Kluyveromyces lactis: one gene and its partner. Each later gene encodes a partner of the first gene's protein in a complex. Links are inferred from orthologs where the notes say so. Each region holds a gene or a part of one and is shown on either strand. Other genes may lie near its edges.

Evidence for each region.
Region 2: DPH1 (region 1) and KTI11 share a complex: the UniProt entries of both Saccharomyces cerevisiae proteins name them as parts of the 2-(3-amino-3-carboxypropyl)histidine synthase complex. The link is inferred for Kluyveromyces lactis from reciprocal best matches to the Saccharomyces cerevisiae genes DPH1 and KTI11.

What each region holds. Positions count from the first base shown.
Region 1 is NC_006042.1:372,254-376,358, reverse strand, and holds DPH1 (2-(3-amino-3-carboxypropyl)histidine synthase), read right to left. Parts: upstream 1,770-4,105; coding exon 501-1,769; downstream 1-500. Other genes in the region: Golgi transport complex subunit COG6, read left to right, coding at 1-444; Hsp90 cochaperone SHQ1, read left to right, coding at 2,113-3,540; BOP3 (Bop3p), read right to left, coding at 3,592-4,105. UniProt on the Saccharomyces cerevisiae protein: Catalyzes the first step of diphthamide biosynthesis, a post-translational modification of histidine which occurs in elongation factor 2.
Region 2 is NC_006041.1:1,815,826-1,819,874, forward strand, and holds KTI11 (Kti11p), read right to left. Parts: upstream 1,865-4,049; coding exon 1,616-1,864; downstream 1-1,615. Other genes in the region: KLLA0_E20417g (uncharacterized protein), read right to left, coding at 1-1,157; RPS8A (40S ribosomal protein eS8), read left to right, coding at 3,153-3,758. UniProt on the Saccharomyces cerevisiae protein: Required for the first step of diphthamide biosynthesis, a post-translational modification of histidine which occurs in elongation factor 2.

The sequences.
Region 1 (4,105 bases):
TATACATTATGCGTTACCAAGTTAAAGGAAACAATGAATAGCTATCTGTTCGAATCAACGGGTATGGAATTGTACTTTAATCTCTTCAACATGATTTTCCCAATTATTTCTGTGCAAGATGAGCTTGATTACGACATGTATCTTTCGGCGGTTGAGAACCCAATCATGAAATTAGCAGTTATTCACGACAATATCCACGAAAAATTGAACACCTATCTTCCATTAGCAGTTTCTGATTTTCAAGATGTAAAATTATTCAATTTGATGCCACCAGCGGTTGAAGAGGACATTGTGTCCACCTGTTTCGGAAATTTTATCAAATTCTATAAAGTGTTCAAAAGCGTTTTGAACAAAATATATCCGGAAGACGAAGAAATGATAATGTCGACATTAAACTTTACGACTAACGAAGTTTCCACCCTACTAGGTGTTGAAGATAAATAATTAAATAAACAAATGTGATGTCCCAGATTGTAATTCGATATAATTAATGCATTTACTTAGATAGTTACGTCGTCATGGTTTGGGACCTTACCTCTACCATATCCGTTAATATGATAATAATCCATCGGGTAATATTTCTCATTGAACATCCGGTCGTTTTCAAGCATCACGTTAGTTTCGTACGGTGTTAGTAATGGTTTATTGAAAGCATACCCCCAATCAATGGACAACCTTGGGCAGGCAACTTGAACAAAGGCATCGATATCATCAAACATTGCAAGCTTTTGTGGGAAAATCTCGCTGAGAATAATCTTTACTACAGTCCTTCCGGAAGCCTTGAGCTTAGTTTCGAGATTTTCAACTGTTGCTAGATTACCTTGTCTACCTAACGCGCCAAGTATCAAACCAACTTTCTTCGAACTGCGAGCTTTATCAATGGCAGATGCTCTTACCTCTACCAATTGCTTCTGATCGTAACGTTCTCTGGTGAATCTTCTATTATAGGGATCATATCTGAAAGCAGGAATTTCAGGGTTATGAATCATGGCCGATTCTAAATGAAACCTACCATCCCCAACATAAACCATCGCATCTATTTGTTCCTTGTTTAGTCTTTCAGAAGTACACCCAAGAACTTCACCCTTCGAAAGTGGTTTGATCTGAGGGGGGATGATATATAACATGTGTTCCTCCGACTGCAACAATTTGTCCTTCATACTATGGATAGTTGGATTAAACTGAATTGTTCCGAATGCAGCAATCCGTGAACCTCTTGGGAAGTTCTTCTGTAACGTCTTTATTAGATGTGTCTCATCAATATTGATAGTGACAAAGATGTAAAGTACCTTGATAGTAGTAATATCGATCGGAACTAAGCAGGAATGTGCATAATGGACAATGAAATCACAATCCAACGATCTTGCTGTATAGTCATCAATACAGCATGCACCATAAGAAACATCGCCCATAACCACAATCTCACACTGACAGAACTGCTCCAAAATATCACTTATCACCAAAGAGTATATGAGCAACCCTTCAGGCATTTGAATAGCAACACGCTTTGCTTTGTGCTTTCTAATGTTCCATACAGTTTTATGTATTTCAAAGTTATAGTTCGAGGGAAGAAGCTTGATAGCAGCATTTAACTCTTCGTCATTTAAAAGCTCCGGCGGTATCTGATTAATAGCATGACGAATGTTAGTCTTAGGCTTGATTTTCTTCACTAGCTCAGTGGTTGATCCCGAGGGATCACTTTCTTCTGCAGCTTTTTTGATACCAACAAACCTTCTTCTAGGCTTTTTCTCAACTTCACCCATAGTCATCACAAAAGGCGCTATTTAGCAATTGGAGCACAACACTTGCAGTTAAATGGTGTCTGGAACAGTAAAACCTAAACCGACTCATCTCATCTCATCTGTTGGTAATTCTTTTCAAATATCCAAAGTTGGAAATTTTTCTTTCTTTTCTGTAATCGTCTAAGTAATTTCTGATGACTGTAATTCTAAAAGGTCAAGGTATGTGCCACTGAGATGGGATTATATGTCCTTTTTAGTTGCTATAAACATAACTATCTGAATTGCTAATTTGACCACCCATTAATTTCAGAAACTATACAAGAAGTAACTTGGTACCGGAGTTTCGTATTTTACCGGTATAGTGTTCCTAATGATAACTCCAAGATTTACTGTCACTCAGGATGATGAATACATTTATGTACAAATTAAGGTGTCAAGCATAAGGTTTAACAGTGCTGGTGTAGAGGTTGTAATAGATGGTTGTATGTTTATCTTCCATTTGTCGCCGTATTATTTGAGGTTGAGATTATCAGATGAATTGGTGGAGGATGAAACTTTAAATACAGTGGAATATGATTCCAAACAAGAGAGCATCAATTGTAAGATTCTGAAGGCAGTTAAAGGTAAAGAGTTCAAGGACTTAGATCTCGCTAGCAAATTATTGGCAGCAAAGAATGAACCTAAAGTGACAGATGGGCCGTTGATTCAAGAAATTAGTAATGAGAAAGAATCAATTGCTGATATTCGAGAAGAAGGAGAGCATTTTGATTGGGAAATCAAACAAGAGGTTCAAGTAGATAATACACCAACAACGAAATACGGTTTCGATAATCTTTATACAGGATATATTGTTATGTCCGTTGCAAATGGCAATGACATTAACGAATTGGATGATCCTGAACATACTTCTCCCGAGAACAGAGTCAAGGAAAGATTGAAGAAGGAAAATTTGAAATTTGATCCAGAGTACTATGCTGCTGAATATATAACCATAAAACAGGGCGATGAAGAGGAAATCCAGATTAATGGCATAAAAAGATTGCTTGGGTACCTTCCTCCTCTTTGCGAAAGGTATCAGCAGTGGTTCGAAAGGTCAGACAATGAATCGAAGGAAAGAAATGTATCTTTTCCTGTGGAGTTCACCGAAGCGGAACAGACTCAGATGCAAGACCACATTCCTAAAAAGAAGTACTTAATAAATGACGTTAAAAGCCAATATCTAACGATATTATCAATATTATATTCTTACACTTTTGAGCAGATCGAAAATGAGGGACAACATACAACTGAAAGCCAATGGACAATCGGTAAATTGACCCCACAGATCTCAATGTTGGACCAACAGATTCTTCTATCCGAGTCTTTAATACATTTCTCTCAAATCAAAGGTACCATAGTAACAGGTATTAGAAGAGCTCTCAGCTATCCGTTGCATCGTAACTATGACCTCTGTATCAAAGCATGGCAGTTGGCTATCAAGCTGTTACTTGGAGGGAAACGTTTGGTAATAAAAGCGTTATTGGATATCCATGAACTATTCCGATACCATGATGTCTACTACGTTTACAATAAAATTCTGTTGGATGATCTTTGCGCATGGTTCATTTCTCAGGGAAACGATAATGTGATTCAATCACTAGCACTTCAAGCAAAGAAAGAGCTTGAATCGATCACAAAATCAGACATTGAATTTGAATGTATTTCAGGAATGAATGAGGAGACTGGCGAGGTTGAATGGGAAACATTGAATATCTCCGAAATAGAATATTTAGCAGAACAAGAAGAAATAGTACAATGAGTGCACTTATATAGATCAATTTTCCAACCATCTTTAATCCGGTAGTATCAATCAGGTATTTAATAAATTGTCCACATAGTTAGGACCTTTCAATAATGTTCGAGGAGGAGAAGGTGAGATCTTTTTGATATCATCGATAGTGGTGTCATTGCTACTATCATCACCGAAAGCATCGTCATTTGTTCCAACGGAGGATGGGTCAGATTCTTTTTCTACCTTTGAATTATTTTTTCCCGACGTGGGACTATCCCCATGATCATTAACATTATTTCCAATAGCAGAGCTACCTCTTGAATTCGACTGTTTAAAAGCAACCTGATTGATGGAGTTCAAATCAATGACACCAAAAGCAGAGTTTGTAGAATGTGTTCTTCTATGTTTCCTTACTGCATGTGGAAACGATGAAGGGCCCGTCGTCGTGAGTTTTCTTCCAGACCCTGGGTGATTCCCTGATAGATTTTGACCGTTATATGTTTGCCAAGCCGAAAAGTTTAACACTCCAGTCGTTGGTTCATTTTTGAAGATGGGCATTGACATCATTCTCTTATGTATATGCCTTTCAGAA
Region 2 (4,049 bases), on another chromosome or scaffold:
ATTAGCTCATGACATTTTTTTGGCCATTCATTTGTCGCTAATTTGGCATTTGGATCAAAATAAAACATTTGATAATCGAAAGACCATAGCACCTGTCCGAACAGCTTTCTAATATTAGAACTTGCAGTACCCCATGAATTAAAAGTATCTTTCTTGTAATTCGATTTATTATCGCCAACGGTTGTGATGTAAGTAGCATCTTTGGACAAAATGGAAGAAGAGTGACCGATAATGTCATACCCTCCAATAAAGTCAAGAACTAAATTGAAGCTACCCTGGCCAAATGGTTGAGTTATAAAATTTCCAGTTTCATTGTTATATTCAACCAATTCATTGCTTGCCACTAGATCGCTTAATGGTTTGTAGATTTTACCGTTCGTTGCTGCATAGTCGATGAAGAGCAATTCATCGACTAGTTCAGGCAAATTTGACTTAATGAAGTTCATACCGGAGGTAGATGAGATTAACACGATTCTGTTCAATATCCTGTAATGAAACTTTAAGAGTTGTAGTGCAAATATTCCGGTCATTGTAGAGGCACCATTGATCAATATATTGCTGCTTTGATTTAATTTCCCCTCTTGATCAAGCTTGTCAAGGATATTGAATGCGGCTCCAAGACAGTAAAAAGTAGATGCCGCTTGTTGAGTACTGATGTTTACTGGCTTAGGTAAAACAACGTCAACCTTTGGATCAACCAAAATGGTAGATTCACAAGTTCCTTTACCTAAATTTGGATGCCAAAAAGTACCGCAAACTTCATCACCGACACTCCACGTATCTGCCAAATTTGAGCCTACTTCTGAGATTTTTCCATAATACTCTCTTCCAATGCCAACTTCATAGTTCATATGCCTAGTGTAACTATTGAATATCTTTAAATCAACTGGGTTTAAACCGACATATTCCACTTGCACGGAAATGACATCTTTAGATATTGGAGTCTTTATCTTTGTTTCATAGGAGAACTGAGGAGGATGATTTTTGGAATAGAATATTAGCGATTTAACCGGCACATAATGGATATGTCTTAGCGGCCTAGCGACTCTTTTCATCTCTAAAGGGGAAGCCAATTCCCTAGGGTTTGGTGAATCATGATTATATTTCACCACATATGCCAACTTCGGATCGTGTTTATTTAACAATTCTTCCGCCATGGTAAAAGAGTTACAGCAGTATGAATTTATCCAGAAAGGCTTGAAGTGGTAAGCATCCTTGTGTTAAGGGTCATGGTAGCGGAAGTCTGTGTAAACTCCGTTCTAATTCTTTTAATTGACGCTTTTTTTAAATGAAATTTAGTTTAATACGAGAAACAATAGATAATACAGAAAATGCTTAAAACAGAGAACATATATACGATCCGGGGTATATAGTACGGACTTGTGAACGATATGCATGATGTGGTAAGAACTGAATTTAATGACTGTCCAGTGCGGATGGAAGTGTGATAGTGGAGCTTGCCAGAGGATTGATAAATCATCCCTAGAATGAAATTATATACAGTGCGGTGCTTGAAGAGTGGTGAGAAAACCATAAACAAACTAAAAGAACACACTCTGTATAACCATGCAAAACTAATGCAGATAAATGACGAGGGTGATGCTGCAAAAATATTTTACACAGCTACAGCAATTTTACCCGGTGGTTCCAGATTTGCTTCCACATAATATTCCACCAAGTCTTCCTTGTCGAAAACCACCTGGATCATCAACGAACAACTGGGACAAACTGCAATGTCTTCTCCGTCATACATATCATCAATGGAAATTTGGAACCTGTCACCACAGGGACAAGGATACGTAAATATCTGTGTATCTGGGTCGAAAGTCATATCCTCAATCTCAACCTCATCGTAAGTGGACATTGTTCTAATACTATTAATAATTAATTCTTTCTCTTTAAGTTAACTTCTAGTAGTCACTTCTCTCTTCAATATGCCAGCACCAGGTTGACCAAAAGTTTATTCCAATTCCGTACCCTTAGGTTAGAGAATATTGAATGCACTGGGTATGAAGACATAGGTATTAAACATAATGCGATGAGCGTAATGATTGACTCAATTGTCATTTCATGTCAAAAGTTTCAGTTTTTCTTTTTAACTTGTTGAGAAAACCGGGAAAAGAAGGACTGGTTCTTTTGAAGAAGTCACGTGATATTTCGGGACTATCACAACCCAGACATATATTTTACACCCATACATAATTCAATTTCATTTATTTTCACTAATACCTAAAAAGGTAATAAGTATTTTTAAAACAGACAAATACCATAATGGTTAGCCAGGCCGTCCCAAGCCACTCACTACCGGTGTAAACCCCCTCTGGCCTCAGAATGCTCTGGCCCACACCACTCATTCAGTTTCTGGCTGCCGTCGATATCCCTGCCCGTCTGCCCAGAGAGCAACATTCCATCTACCACCTAGGCAGAATCTTTCCCCAGGAGTCTCTCCTCCAGCTCACCTTTGGCCATTCTCACGCTTTCTCTGTCCCTTTCTCTGGGCGAGCTGGTTCCCTCTGGCAGTCCAATACTCGGCAGTGTGGTCCATTTTGTCGAAAGAACAACTTTGATTTCCATCTAGTGAAAAGTTACAAAATTGTTGTATACTGTTATATACTGTTACCTTCTATAGTTATTGTATTGGATAGTTCTTGAAATACAAGAAGAGGTCAAGAAGCCAGGTCAAATAGTATGTTTTATACGTGGGTACTATTGTGCTTTGTGGAGTAACCAGCGGATGCAATACAATGAGAGAACAGTGCGATTACATGTTTAGATATATTTGAAAGAGTTTTGAATTGATGGAATGAATTAGAAAATGTTTTAGATCACTGAGGGTGAATGACAGTTACCAAGGAATAATCAGTGGGAAGTCCGTTATGGTGTAGCAAAAAACTAGCGAACTGAGGAGATTCATACGAGTAAAGAAGCGGCTTTCTAATATCGAAGGTGGGAAGTACGGGATAGTATACAACCAAGAAGGCGAAATTATTTGTGAAGTAATTAACTCAAAGAGAAAACATCGTTGGTGGCATCTGAAGTTATCTTATATAACTACTCTGTGAAAGTACAAGCAAAAGCTAATTAACGGCAATCAAACGAAAGAAAAATTTACTAACATCTTTTACTAAAGCTTTTATCTACAGTAAAGCAAAATGGGTATTTCTCGTGATTCTCGTCACAAAAGAGCTGCTACCGGTGCTAAACGTGCTCAATTCAGAAAGAAGAGAAAGTTCGAATTAGGCCGTCAAGCTGCCAACACCAAGATCGGTACTAAGAGAATTCATCCTGTTAGAACCAGAGGTGGTAACCAGAAGTTCAGAGCTTTGAGAATTGAAACTGGTAACTTCTCCTGGGCTTCCGAAGGTGTCGCTAGAAAGACCAGAATCACTGGTGTCGTCTACCATCCATCCAACAATGAATTGGTTAGAACTAACACTTTGACCAAGGCAGCTATCGTTCAAATCGATGCTACCCCATTCAGACAATGGTACGAATCTCACTACGGTCAATCTTTGGGTAAGAAGAAGAACACTAAGGCTGAAGAAGAAACCGCCACCACCTCTAAGAACACTGAAAGAAAGTGGGCTGCCAGAGCTGCTGAAGCTAAGATCGAACACGCCGTTGACTCTCAATTCGGTGCTGGTAGATTGTACGCTGCTATCTCTTCCAGACCAGGTCAATCCGGTAGATGTGATGGTTACATTTTGGAAGGTGAAGAATTGGCCTTCTACTTGAGAAGATTGACTGCTAAGAAATAAGTCAACTCCTTCGCAAATTAACATATACGCCAATTTATCAAAACTCCTTATTAACCGTTATTATCACAGCCAAAGGTTCTTTTGGTCATTTTATATCTTTACAAATGTATAAAATATAATAAGTCATAGTATTTTTACTTATAACTTTCTCAGTTTCAGTACCATCAGTACTTATGCAAGGTAGTTAAAACTCTGGCTCCGATTACTAGCTCAAGATGTCCATCTCAAAAGCGTGTATCTACAGAATGTTGAGAAAACGATTGTTATGGAATAATGTACGAACAGTAGACA